Linked DNA regions of Lepisosteus oculatus. The protein of the gene in region 2 purifies or fractionates together with the protein of the main gene of each other region. This does not show direct contact. Links are inferred from orthologs where the notes say so. Each region holds a gene or a part of one and is shown on either strand. Other genes may lie near its edges. The genes, in order: vangl1, ptpn3 and vangl2.

Region 1 (3,755 bases), on a different chromosome or scaffold from region 2:
TTCTAGTCGCATATTTTCGTGATGAGAGCTGTGGTGTCAGACTGGGAGCCTGCTAGATTTGTTCATCTCACGTGTGACAGATGGTGGCATTATCAGTATGCATTCATTATTTAGTATTTTATGGGTTTCTGAAAATAATAAAAGCCACTATTCCATAGGGGTATTTATAGTGACATATCACTACGTCTAAATTTAGTTGGATTCCATAAAACACTTTTTGCAGTGCAAAAGTAAATATCCTTAGCCTATCGCTTTATCTACGCATTCGGTTATTTTGCTTCTTTTGACTTGTTTGGCGTGAAAAACCCGAGAGTTTTTAAAGCTATTTTTTTTTTCGTTTTCTGTATAAACTGAGAGGTCGGTTGCTGTGTTCGCAAAGTACATTTTCGCATTTGAAACATCCCTCTCACGTCGCTCTCCCTCGTATTTTTCATTTGCTAAATTACATTAAAGTAGTGATGTTGACATTTCTATTCAAACCTGTTCTAGCATGATGTTAGTAAATATTGGCTTTACCAATAGCTGTTGTGTTGCCGAAAGGAGTATGGGTATAAAATGCTTAATTGAAAAATGCATTACATGTTATGTCATCCAATAATAATCTAAAACACATTTTTCATAATTTGTTAATCTAAATATCAATTTTCTTAAATAAAAGAAATACGTGTAGCTTGTTATCAACGCGAGTATTAACAGTTGCAAATCTAAATTTACGTAGCCTTTGTGTGATATTATGATATCATATGATTGCATTGATCTGGGCCCTGAGTTCGAGAACACTTCCACTGTCTTATTGAACGAATTTGACGCTATGTTTCAGTCTCTGGGCTGATATTGCCTATCCGCATCAGTTTATAAGATAGGCCTATATGAAACAGACATCTGCTATTCCAGTTGTTTCACAATAAAGGAAGCACGTCATAAATTGCAATATGAGCTGCCAGGCGCATGTGAGCCTTGGGCTGTATTCAATAAAATGTTTTTTTTTTCCTTTCAGTTATTCTTTCTCACTATAAAGCAAAAGAAAACTGAAGATGATGCTGAGCCCTGACCAACCCGACTCCGACCATCCGTGGGCTCAGTCCGATGCTGAATCGGTACTAAACGATATGAAAGTCGGGTGCGTTTCCGACGAGCCCGGAGAAGGGGACGGAAAGACTAGAGCGCTGGCCCCCCAAACCTTAAGCCGGGAGGAGAAGCGCAGGAGGCGGCGAGCGACAGCAAAGTACCGCTCGGCACACGCCACAAGAGAGAGGATCCGGGTCGAAGCTTTTAACGTGGCTTTTGCTGAACTGAGAAAGTTACTCCCCACACTGCCCCCGGATAAGAAGCTGTCCAAGATTGAAATTCTAAGGTTAGCAATTTGCTACATCTCTTATCTGAACCATGTACTGGACGTTTAGTGACTTTATGAATTTTACTTTTGAAAAAGCGGAATACGAAGAAGAAAGAAAAATCAAAGTACATTTGGCTCCCGCGGGATGGAAATGTGGAAGAAAAGAACAACTTCACCGGTATTGTAACTTCAGTATTTTCGTTTAAGAAACAGCGGCAGTGTTTACAGAGAAATTAGAAAGGAAGGCGCGCTGCTGTTGTCGACTCCAAGCCCAAATTCTCCGGCAAAGCAAAAGCAGAATTTCCCAGTATATGAAAAAGAACCGATACCTGTAAACACAATCTGTTGTTAAACTAGCGAAACAAGAATGCAATAATTTAGGGGATACGAAAGATCTCTAGACAGGGTCTTGGATACATTCTTTCACAAATTCATCTAGAACTTGTCCCAGATATTTGTAACGTTTTTGACTTTAGTTACGAAAAGTCCATTCGGAGTGGTAAATTTCAAAAGATGGACACGATTTAGACGAAAGAGGGGAAATAGCTGCTTAATAATATGTAGTTACGATTTCCTAAAAGAGGAAAAATAAATGAAAATATTTAAGTGCCACTTCTTCTTAAAATACATCAGAATTGTGACCTTAATATTTATTTATTATCTTTGCTTCTAGATTTATATTATTTATTTATATTGCTGTTTTTATTTTATTTTTTTACAGTCCGTGTCTTTTGTATGACCCGTTGTTTACATTTAAATGTGTATGTATAATTATCTATATTTTAGTCTGTGTTTTTGGAGTATAAAAGTGATATTTTTGCTCTCCTATTGCACTTGTCAGTGGTTATTTTTATGTTGAAAGTATGTTGTAAATTGAATCGTATGTCAATGTTTTTTTGGGGTTTTCATCTGTCCATGGCAACGATAAGCACTTCTATCTGGGTAGAACCCTTAGATAACTTGTTGATATCAACATTGTTTAAACGTAGCTTTTTTTCTGAAAAACGTCTTAAGGGGATGGCTGCTTGGAATTTAATATTACACAAAACTCATTGGTCCCAAAAGGCAATAAAAATGAAGTCTTTCTCCATTCACAATTGTCATGCACAAGACTGAGATTTGGATCTTATGAGTCCGACAAACACGGCTGGAGCTTTCAGTTCAGTTTTGAAAGTCTTGGGATATAGCTCCCTCGACCAAGGTTAAATTCCAGGTTGCCTTTCCTTTGCTGCGACCAAAAATAGGAATTTTCGATTAAGTCTGTGGGTTGTTTTTTTAGTTTGTTTTTAATTACGTGTGAGTGTCTCTGCTGTGAACCTCTTTAATACAATAACTGATTTTATAGTGAGGAAAAACGACATATCTGCTATCCAAAGATTTTTGTCTTTCAGGGTTTTTATCGTGTCTTCGTTGCTTTATAGCACATATTTTGTAGTGAAGTAGCTATAATAAGCTGGTTTCTAACGAACACAGTTTTTCATATCTTAATGGTGAGCTGTTTTGAAAATAAATATCTAAAAAAGTAATTGTCTGTTTTTTGTATTAATTTCTGTATCTTAATAAGCTATCGTCCTTTTACAGTTACTACAGAGAGATGGTCTAATCCACACATGGCATGCAGGGAAGACAAAATATACAATTCGCTCTTCAGTCAATCTGACAGTTTTAAGAGGTTACAGCCTCATTCATTCGTTTTAGAAATACAGGCAAAATCTTAATTCACTTATGACAGTTTAATTAAAACAAATTATTTGTGATTCAGTGCTTAGAGTATCCTTTCTCTGATTCCTTTTCCTTATTGTTGTTGTTGTTGTTGTTGTTGTTGTTGTTGTTGTCAATTGTATCATATACTGTAGTTTTGAGACAACTATGAAACACGTGCTTTCAGATACTTTTAGATTTATATTTTAAACAAGCTGTACTGCAATACCAATCTCGCAGATTAAAGAGTTAAATCGAGTCCAGGGCTGCGTCCTATAGCCAGATCTGTGGAACTACTTTAATTCAATTTTGTAACTTTAGTTTACTGGATTTACAGTCGTTAAAAATACTAAATTCAAATACTGTATAACTGAATTTTTTTCCTATGATAGGTGTCTTACACGGCAATGGATTTATGAAAAAAGATATAGGTTTTCCGGTTATTGACGGCTGTTTTTTTAAATGGGATGCGTTTCATCTCGTTTAAATAATTACAAAGGGTGTGAAAATCAAGTACTCAGAAGTTATTCCGGCGCGTACGGGTGAATATCTTTTTGTCGAAAGGCATGGAAATGATGGTCACTGTGAATGAGTGATTTCGGTATGCGTGTGTCTGCTACTCTTCCCCTTTGGATGAAACGTGCTCTCCCCAGAGAGGGGGCAGGTGTTACTCCAGACGAGCCAAGACAACCACATTACTGGCCGTCTGTCACCTCCC
Region 2 (3,755 bases):
TTCTTAAAACAATAAAACAATTATGGTATTTTTGTACAAATATGTCACTATACAGATTGACTGTATTCGCAATTATAATTACTATTTATTTTTTCTGTAATATTTTGTCTTAATTGTTACCTTTCTGCTTACAAAAAAATAATACTTTTCCTGCTGTTTCCTGGACATTAAATTCTGTCTACCTACGTATGTAGCTGTATGAGGATGTAAATAAACATGTATCATTTACTTTCCCTCAGAGAAACATGCGATGATTACGTGTGGTGTTGTTGATTTTTTTTCTCAATATTTTGCCAATAATAATCGCCAAAAGTCCCCGGCATGATTGTGTTTGAAGAAAAGAAAGTTAAATTTCTGAAAACTCATCCAACTATCGTATGAGATTTTGTTTTGTCGCAGGACAGAACGGGTGGAAGGTAGAAGGGGCTCCCCTGGCGGCAATGTTATGTAAATGCTGCCATTTTTCAAAGTGGTTTTGGAAGTGTATTATTAAACGCATTTCCGAAGGGTGTTGTCTTCTATAAACGTGAATTACATTTTGGGTGTTTCTGCAAATTGGTATCAATATAGAAAACTGGAATTCTTTCTGTGATCTTTGATTTTTCTTTTGTTTTATTTAGAACAGTTTATACTTTCTTCTATAGAAAATGTTGGGCATACATAGTATACTGTACATTAAAATGATAATTTTAAAGAACGTTTTTGGAGTTTATTTGAATTAATGGAGTACAGTATAGTTTAGCAGATCTGAAACAGTCATTATGAAAATAGCTATAAGCAATACAATACCAAATTCAGTTTGAGTGTCTGCACACATACAGTAAATACTAGTGTGTGTGGGTGTGTTAGAAAATGTTTAGTTTTGATTACTTAAGGAGCAAAAGCTGCACAGTTACCAATTAGATACAGGCACTATTTAAGCATTTATTTTTAATTAGTACAGTTAATAACATTAAACTCCTATGTTCACCTTGGAATTTTAATTTCTACCACAAAAAGAGTCCTGTTTTATGCTTTCCTTGTTTACTTTTTCATATAACTCTTGCACACCATAAGGCTCACTGGGGAAGACTTGTTCTGACTGCTCTATTGTGTACATTATGTCCCACATCTCACATACTGTGTTCCAGCTTTAAAAAGGGTGGCATTATAAATGAAATTCATGTTTACCTAAATGGTGTATAAAAAGCAGTAATTCTGCTACATTAGAGTGATTAGCCGCTGTGAACCACTTGCCCTTTTCAGCTACTCACCAGCAGACATGAACAAGGAGACCAATTATCTGCTTCTGCATTGAAGTTATTATCACTGTCATCAAAACACAGTTAGGCCCATTTAAGATCACTTCAAAGCACCCCTGTACAAATGATGGCAATTATCCTAGTTGACTTTACTGGGAGTTCACCGATAGACAGGTAAAACATATGACAGGATTTATTGAGCCATTTTCTGACAATCACTTTTACATTGCAATCAAAGCCATTACTGCAAAATGCTGGGCTACATTTAAACATTTCCCACTTACTATGCATGTATACATGTAGAGCGTATTAGATCATTAGTAAGTAAAGAGTCGTAAAGAATAATCAGTTTTATCCATATACTGTACATAAGTAGTTTTACTTAAATTTGAGTAAGATTAGCTAAAACTCCCATACTGTATTCTTAGGACCATAAATTATAATGGCTTCCTTTTTATGATAGAAGCCTGTAAAGATAGAAAGTGCACTTTGTACCCTTAAAGCCAGGACAGACATCTATTGCCTGTATTTTACTCATATCACAGAAAAAAAAATCATAATGCTATGATTAACACAAAGTTTTTTCTAAACAAATATGTATTCTAAAAATTAATACTAAACAACATCTAGTCTATACCCTGTAAAGTTCATAGGTCTTACATAGCCTTCACCAATCAGTGCTACTTAATTTTATGTATTTAACTATAACCAAAATATGTTGTGGTGCTTTAAATATTCGAGACCTTATGTTAATGTAACTAAATCTATGAGAGTATTCACATTTATAAGCACAGATGGTGGACAACCTGCTGTCCACATGGACATCTGTCCACATGTTTTAGTAAAACAACCCTTTAGTGTTTGAACACCACTGCTGGCTACTAGAAGACAAAATACATGAGGAATGAACTCACCTTCTTCTTCCAGTGAGGGGGCTTGTTGATGCACACCTTGGTCCTCCACCATGGCCTCCTGCTTTATCTTATAATCCTCAATTTATTCGCTATTCAATCCATGCAGCATAGAATCATCAAAGTCAAGGATGTACAAACAGCACAGCAAGTAAAAGGCTGTCTTCATCCAATCTCCTTTTCTTTCCTTTCTTTTTCGTATATTAGTTCTCCAGTACAAACCAGAGGAACAGGTCCTTGCACATTGCAAAAGAACAGCTTAATTAAAAGCACACACCCTTTCTGTTGGCTCCTAAAATGTCTAGCCTGCTTCTTTAGGGTTGGAAAACAACACATGCTGAAGTAATAGCTATGCTGGTGCACTGGGAAATAGGTTGAAATGAATAAGAACTTATCATTTCCCTCCTGAAATGAAGAGTGTGGGATTTAAATATGTACCATCTGGTTTTTAAACAGTACCCTACCTCTGTATTCTCTGAAAACTTTATATTGTCCATGAACTGAAAATGAAACACGTTTAGTTGTTTGTGCACTGTGGCATGATTGTATTGGTAGTGATGCAGAGGCTTAGATATTTTTCCAATGTTTGAACATGCAACCAATAATATCTTCTCTATCTGAACATGAGCCTAGGTAACCAACAGCTGTAGGTTTATGTTTAGTCCTTGTTTGGCATATGTGTTATTTACTTGTAGCTAGGTATCAAGAGTAGACGTGAAACTTCTGTGTTGAGAATACCAAAGCTGCTTTGGTTTCTTTGGAAAAGCATGATCTATGTTGTGGCGCTAATGTAATCCCAGAGGACAGTGTGCTATTTCCTCACCTGTTGCAGGGCTGTTTTATGCTGAGTGACACTGACTCAGCCCTGGTGCCGCAATAGATATGAAACTCAATTACTGTAACAAAGGCCTCCACCCTTTCCTTCTTCTAAACTGAAGACACATCTCTGTAGTTTACCACGCTAATTTGTTCTCATCAGTCACATTTTCAGATCAACTTTGACTTGCGTTCTGATTAGACGTCTTATTTTAATGTTTAGGTTGTTCATTTTATAAACTTTAAGTAAGGTCCTGAAATTGGAGAACCTTGAGTCATACCAAGTTTGTTGGGTTCATGAAATGTTTTGTTCACATCTTGGGATGTACAATTTACTACATCTTCCTGGCCCTACGTAAAGCACGTTTTGAGAGTTTTTGTTTGACATCACTCTTTAATTTTGAAGTTTATTTATTTTATTTATGTCACATGTTATGTAAAGCATTTGTGACCATGTTTGATAACAAAAAGCAAAGTGTCTATTATATGTTACTGTGACAGACCATTAGTAATGAAGGTAGTAATTTCTGCTGACACCACTAGAGGTTGTTAAGACCTCTATTTTTGTATGTACAGTAGGTTCACATGGATAGAGTTGATTACTTAATTATTGAAGGTCCAACAATTATATTTAATTTAGATTTATTTGGTACATAAAGGGACTCACAGGGTAAGGGTAAGGTACAGAGTAAGTATAACAGGTTATGTCTGAAAAGAAAGTCTCCTTACACAAATATGTTTTGTTGTCTAATGTGATTTCAATGTGCTCAGGACTCACAAGCCACAT
Region 3 (3,755 bases), on a different chromosome or scaffold from region 2:
TTAATTAAGCTTAAACTTGTAGATTTTTCACATAATCCACGAGACAAATGATGAGACCCCAATCCCCACTGCACCTTAACCTGGCTCCATCCTGTATTCGTACTGCAACCCCACTGTGCTGTCTCAGTTGAAAAAAATAAGTCTAAAACTGCCTTTTTTTTTTACAGAATCAGACACTTTTTTTCATATGCTTGATGGATGAAACGATCAGATCTCCCCAGATGACGCAATGCCCTAATCCGCCTAAGATTAATCTCGGGCCGGACAGATGTTGCACTGTGCTCACACTGGTGGTGGTGGTGGGGGGGTTGGTCTGCAAAATACCAGAGATGAAAGAATTTGGAAGGTTCCCTACTGCTGAGATGGTGCTGCTGCTACAACGCCTTGTGTTCAACAGCTGGCGTCCAACAGAAACGGGAGAAAACCTAATTAGGGTCATTCCCAGGGATGTCTCCAGAGTTCATCGCAAACCAATTAGGAGCACCAAGAGATGCCCAAGTGATTGATCACGTCAGCTCATTACTAAGACTCTGTGCTCTTTTAGTGGTCCGCCAATCCAGACAAGGCATGTCAAAAACATCTGACACACGCCCTACAAGATTGTGAGCCTTCGAAAGCTTGCATTCTCCTCTTATTTCTTCAGAACCTTTACTTGACAATCCACACATCAGGATGTTGCCACCAATCCAGCACCGCAACTTATTAGAACCCTTGGCTGTGGGGAGCAGCTCGGGAACAGCGTGACCCAAGGTTTGGGTGCACTTTTAGTCTTGTGATGGACTATTTAGCAGCAGGTTCACCTATTTAAGTTTAACCTCATTAAACTACTTGTATTTTAATGATGCTAGAAACAAGTGTGTGGGCAGCACAGTGGCACCAGATATGGAACCCTGGGGTCAATTCCTGGAGCGCTATCTCCATGGAGGTTGTATGTTCTCCCTGTGCTCACTTGGGTTTCTTGTCCACGGTCCAGAGACATGCTGGTAGGCTAATTGGTTTCTAGGTCCTGTGTATGAGTGTGTATGTCTGTGTTTGTGTGTGTGCCCTGCAATAGCACCAGTTGCGCCAGTTGCGTGCTGGGATAGGGTCCAGATTTCCCCATGACCCTGTACTGAATAAAGCAGTTAGAAAGTGGATGGATACATAACAATGGGAAATGCATAGAAGTGTCACATGGTGACAATCAGGGTTTTCTTACACCACGTTTCTATAAAACTATTTTACAGTAGAAATTGGTTATTAGATGAATTCCACCAGTCAGGTGATAAAAGTATTTAAAAAGCAATTGCAACACACTTGTATTGCAAAGCATCTCCGTCCAATCGACTGCACTCTTATACTGGTACTTTACAGTTGCAAGTCGAGGACAGTAAACAAAAACGAAAAGGAAGTGAAACCATGTGTGAACATGAAATGAAAACAGAGGAACCGAATGTAAATTGAAGGCCATCAGAAACCAGCACGTCTTGAGGTGAAATTCTGAAACGTCAGCAGCAGGAGGGGTTTTAACGAAACAATATTCCGCAGACGAGAGGTTGCCACTGAAAAGCTCCACTAACGCACAACGTTGTCACAAAGGCCTCAAAACGTTGAGAAGCCCAGAACCAGCGGAACGAAGTGAAGTCCGCCGTTCGGTCCCCGTGTGCGAGATCCTGTTTTACCTCCGGCGGCATGTACAGCCGCAGCGGTGTCACGGGATGGCTCTATGACGTAGGGGGTCAACCCGCGGTCTTGGGGCCCTCGCCCGCGTTTACCTGTGTTTCCGTGAACTGCGCGAGTGGCTGGACTTGTAGGAGTAGCCCGAGTACTGCGACTCTGTGTCCATGGTGCTGCTCCGAGACTTCTCCTCGCTCAAGGTGGGCTTGCGGGGGCGGTGGCCGGTCCCCCCGCCTCCCCCTCCTCCTCCGCCGCCGCCGCCGCCGCCTCCTCCTCCTCCTCTGCCTCCCTCCTCCCTCTGGCCGTTCCCACTGCGCCCCGGCGGACCCCCCTCCTTCAGCTTCCGAGTGCCGACCGCCTTGGCAGAGAGGGACAGGGGCAGCTTCAGGAGGTCGACTTTGCTCCTGAGAGAATCTATTTTGAAGCCCGGGCGAACACTGGGGCCGGAGAATCCCAGGAGCTGGGGACGAGCCTGGAAAAAAGACAGAAGGGGGGTGGGGGGGTGGTCATTAAGCCAGGTGGGATTTAGATGCGACTCAACAAGGTCCTGTGTTGTATGACCTCAGGGGGATCAGCACCCCTGACTCTCGATCCCTGATCTTGAGCTGCCGCCTCTACTTCAGAGTTCAGACATGACTGAATCAATCAACATGTTAACGGAACAAGTAACAGGCAATCGCAGAAAAGGTGTCCGAGAACTGTCGAGTGGGTAGCAGCTGTAGAGAGGAGAGAGAGCCGAGAGGAGTGTTTTGGAGTTTGTATGTGTACCCTGGAATTCTTGTTTCAAACAGTCTCTCGGCACATACACAGTACATAAGATGGCAATATGACAGACAACAACACAATGAAGACAGAACATTACAGGATTGTGCACAATAGCTAGTAACAACAGAATAAATATGTTGGAGAGAACAATAAACGTGCTAGTGGGGGGAAAAAAAACATGGCAGTCCACACAACAGGAGCAGAGGTGCATTGAATTCGGAGGCCTTACAGTTAGCTGTTAAGGATATAAACTGCCTTAAGGTAGGAGCTGTTCTACAGCCTAGTGGTCTGTGCTTTAACAGTGCGGTACCGCTTGCCAGAGCACAGGGGGGAGAACAGTTTGTGGCCGGGATGGTTGGGATCCTGAATGATGGACCGGGCTTTACTGAGGCAGCGGATCGCGTGAATCTCACTGATCGATGGTAAATCGCACCCTATAATCCTCTGTGCCGTTGCCACAAGCCTTTGTAGTGTCTCTTTGTTATGAACAGCAGTAATGCTGGAGCATACAGCGATGCCACTATCGAGGACACTGTCTACGTCACTTTCACCCAGTGTGGTTGGAAGGGGGCTCACTCAGCACTGCTCCCTCTGCCGTTGAAATGAGTGGACAAGACCAGCTGGGAGCCATCGACTGACCACCTCCGGGGCCGAGTCGAGAAAGCAGCAGATGGAAAGAAAAAAAAACAGCTAACAAAAGAAGTCATTATTGTGCTTTTGGCACCGAGGTGGGAGTGGGAAGGGAAAAAAAAAGCCTCGTCCAACAAGAAGCATTTCTAATGTCGAGGACAGACGAGCAGCCGACTTCTGGCTGAATGACAGCAAAGGTGAAGTGTGTGAAGAAGTCCAACAGCTGGGACGCTTTTTGCTTTGTTTTACAGCGTGGAACCTTTTACCTTCAGCTCCCCCCTCTCGAACCTCTTCAATGACTTAACTGGCCTAATTGACCACCACTTCTAGGCCCTCCACTAGTGAAGAGTCTGAGCTGTTATGGAACCGCAAACAGCTATAGCTTTCAGAGAGAGGGACTTAACATCCCTTGTGTGGTGCAGTCCTCCCCCTCCACGTTGAGCCAAGTCCAGGATTATAGGTCAATATTATGCCCCGCATGCATGATAAGCACAAAAAAAGGGTTGAAAAGATTCTAAAAGGCTTTTGGAAGAAAAACAAGAAGCATTGAGCAGCAATGTTTCAGTATTTATTGGAACCATCTATGCATCCACCTTCTAAACTGCTTCTCCCAATTCAGGGCTGCTGGGGAGTAAGAGCCTATCCCAGCAAGCAACTGACGCAAAGCAGGGTACACCCTGTACAGGATGCCACACACACACACA

Evidence for each region.
Region 1: the proteins of ptpn3 (region 2) and vangl1 purify together in Homo sapiens (affinity purification with mass spectrometry; 4 studies listed by BioGRID and IntAct, with this or other methods). This does not show direct contact. The link is inferred for Lepisosteus oculatus from reciprocal best matches to the Homo sapiens genes PTPN3 and VANGL1.
Region 3: the proteins of ptpn3 (region 2) and vangl2 purify together in Homo sapiens (affinity purification with mass spectrometry; 3 studies listed by BioGRID and IntAct, with this or other methods). This does not show direct contact. The link is inferred for Lepisosteus oculatus from reciprocal best matches to the Homo sapiens genes PTPN3 and VANGL2.

What each region holds. Positions count from the first base shown.
Region 1 is NC_090710.1:17,962,658-17,966,412, forward strand, and holds the start of vangl1 (vang-like protein 1), read left to right. Parts: upstream 1-1,262; 5' UTR 1,263-1,354; intron 1,355-1,398; exon of another isoform or gene 1,399-1,432; 5' UTR 1,433-1,514; intron 1,515-3,755.
Region 2 is NC_090705.1:23,826,401-23,830,155, forward strand, and holds the start of ptpn3 (tyrosine-protein phosphatase non-receptor type 3), read right to left. Parts: upstream 2,319-3,755; 5' UTR 2,208-2,318; coding exon 2,156-2,207; intron 1-2,155.
Region 3 is NC_090699.1:8,407,550-8,411,304, forward strand, and holds the start of vangl2 (vang-like protein 2), read right to left. Parts: upstream 2,129-3,755; 5' UTR 1,826-2,128; coding exon 1,755-1,825; intron 1-1,754. UniProt on the Homo sapiens protein: Involved in the control of early morphogenesis and patterning of both axial midline structures and the development of neural plate. Plays a role in the regulation of planar cell polarity, particularly in the orientation of stereociliary bundles in the cochlea.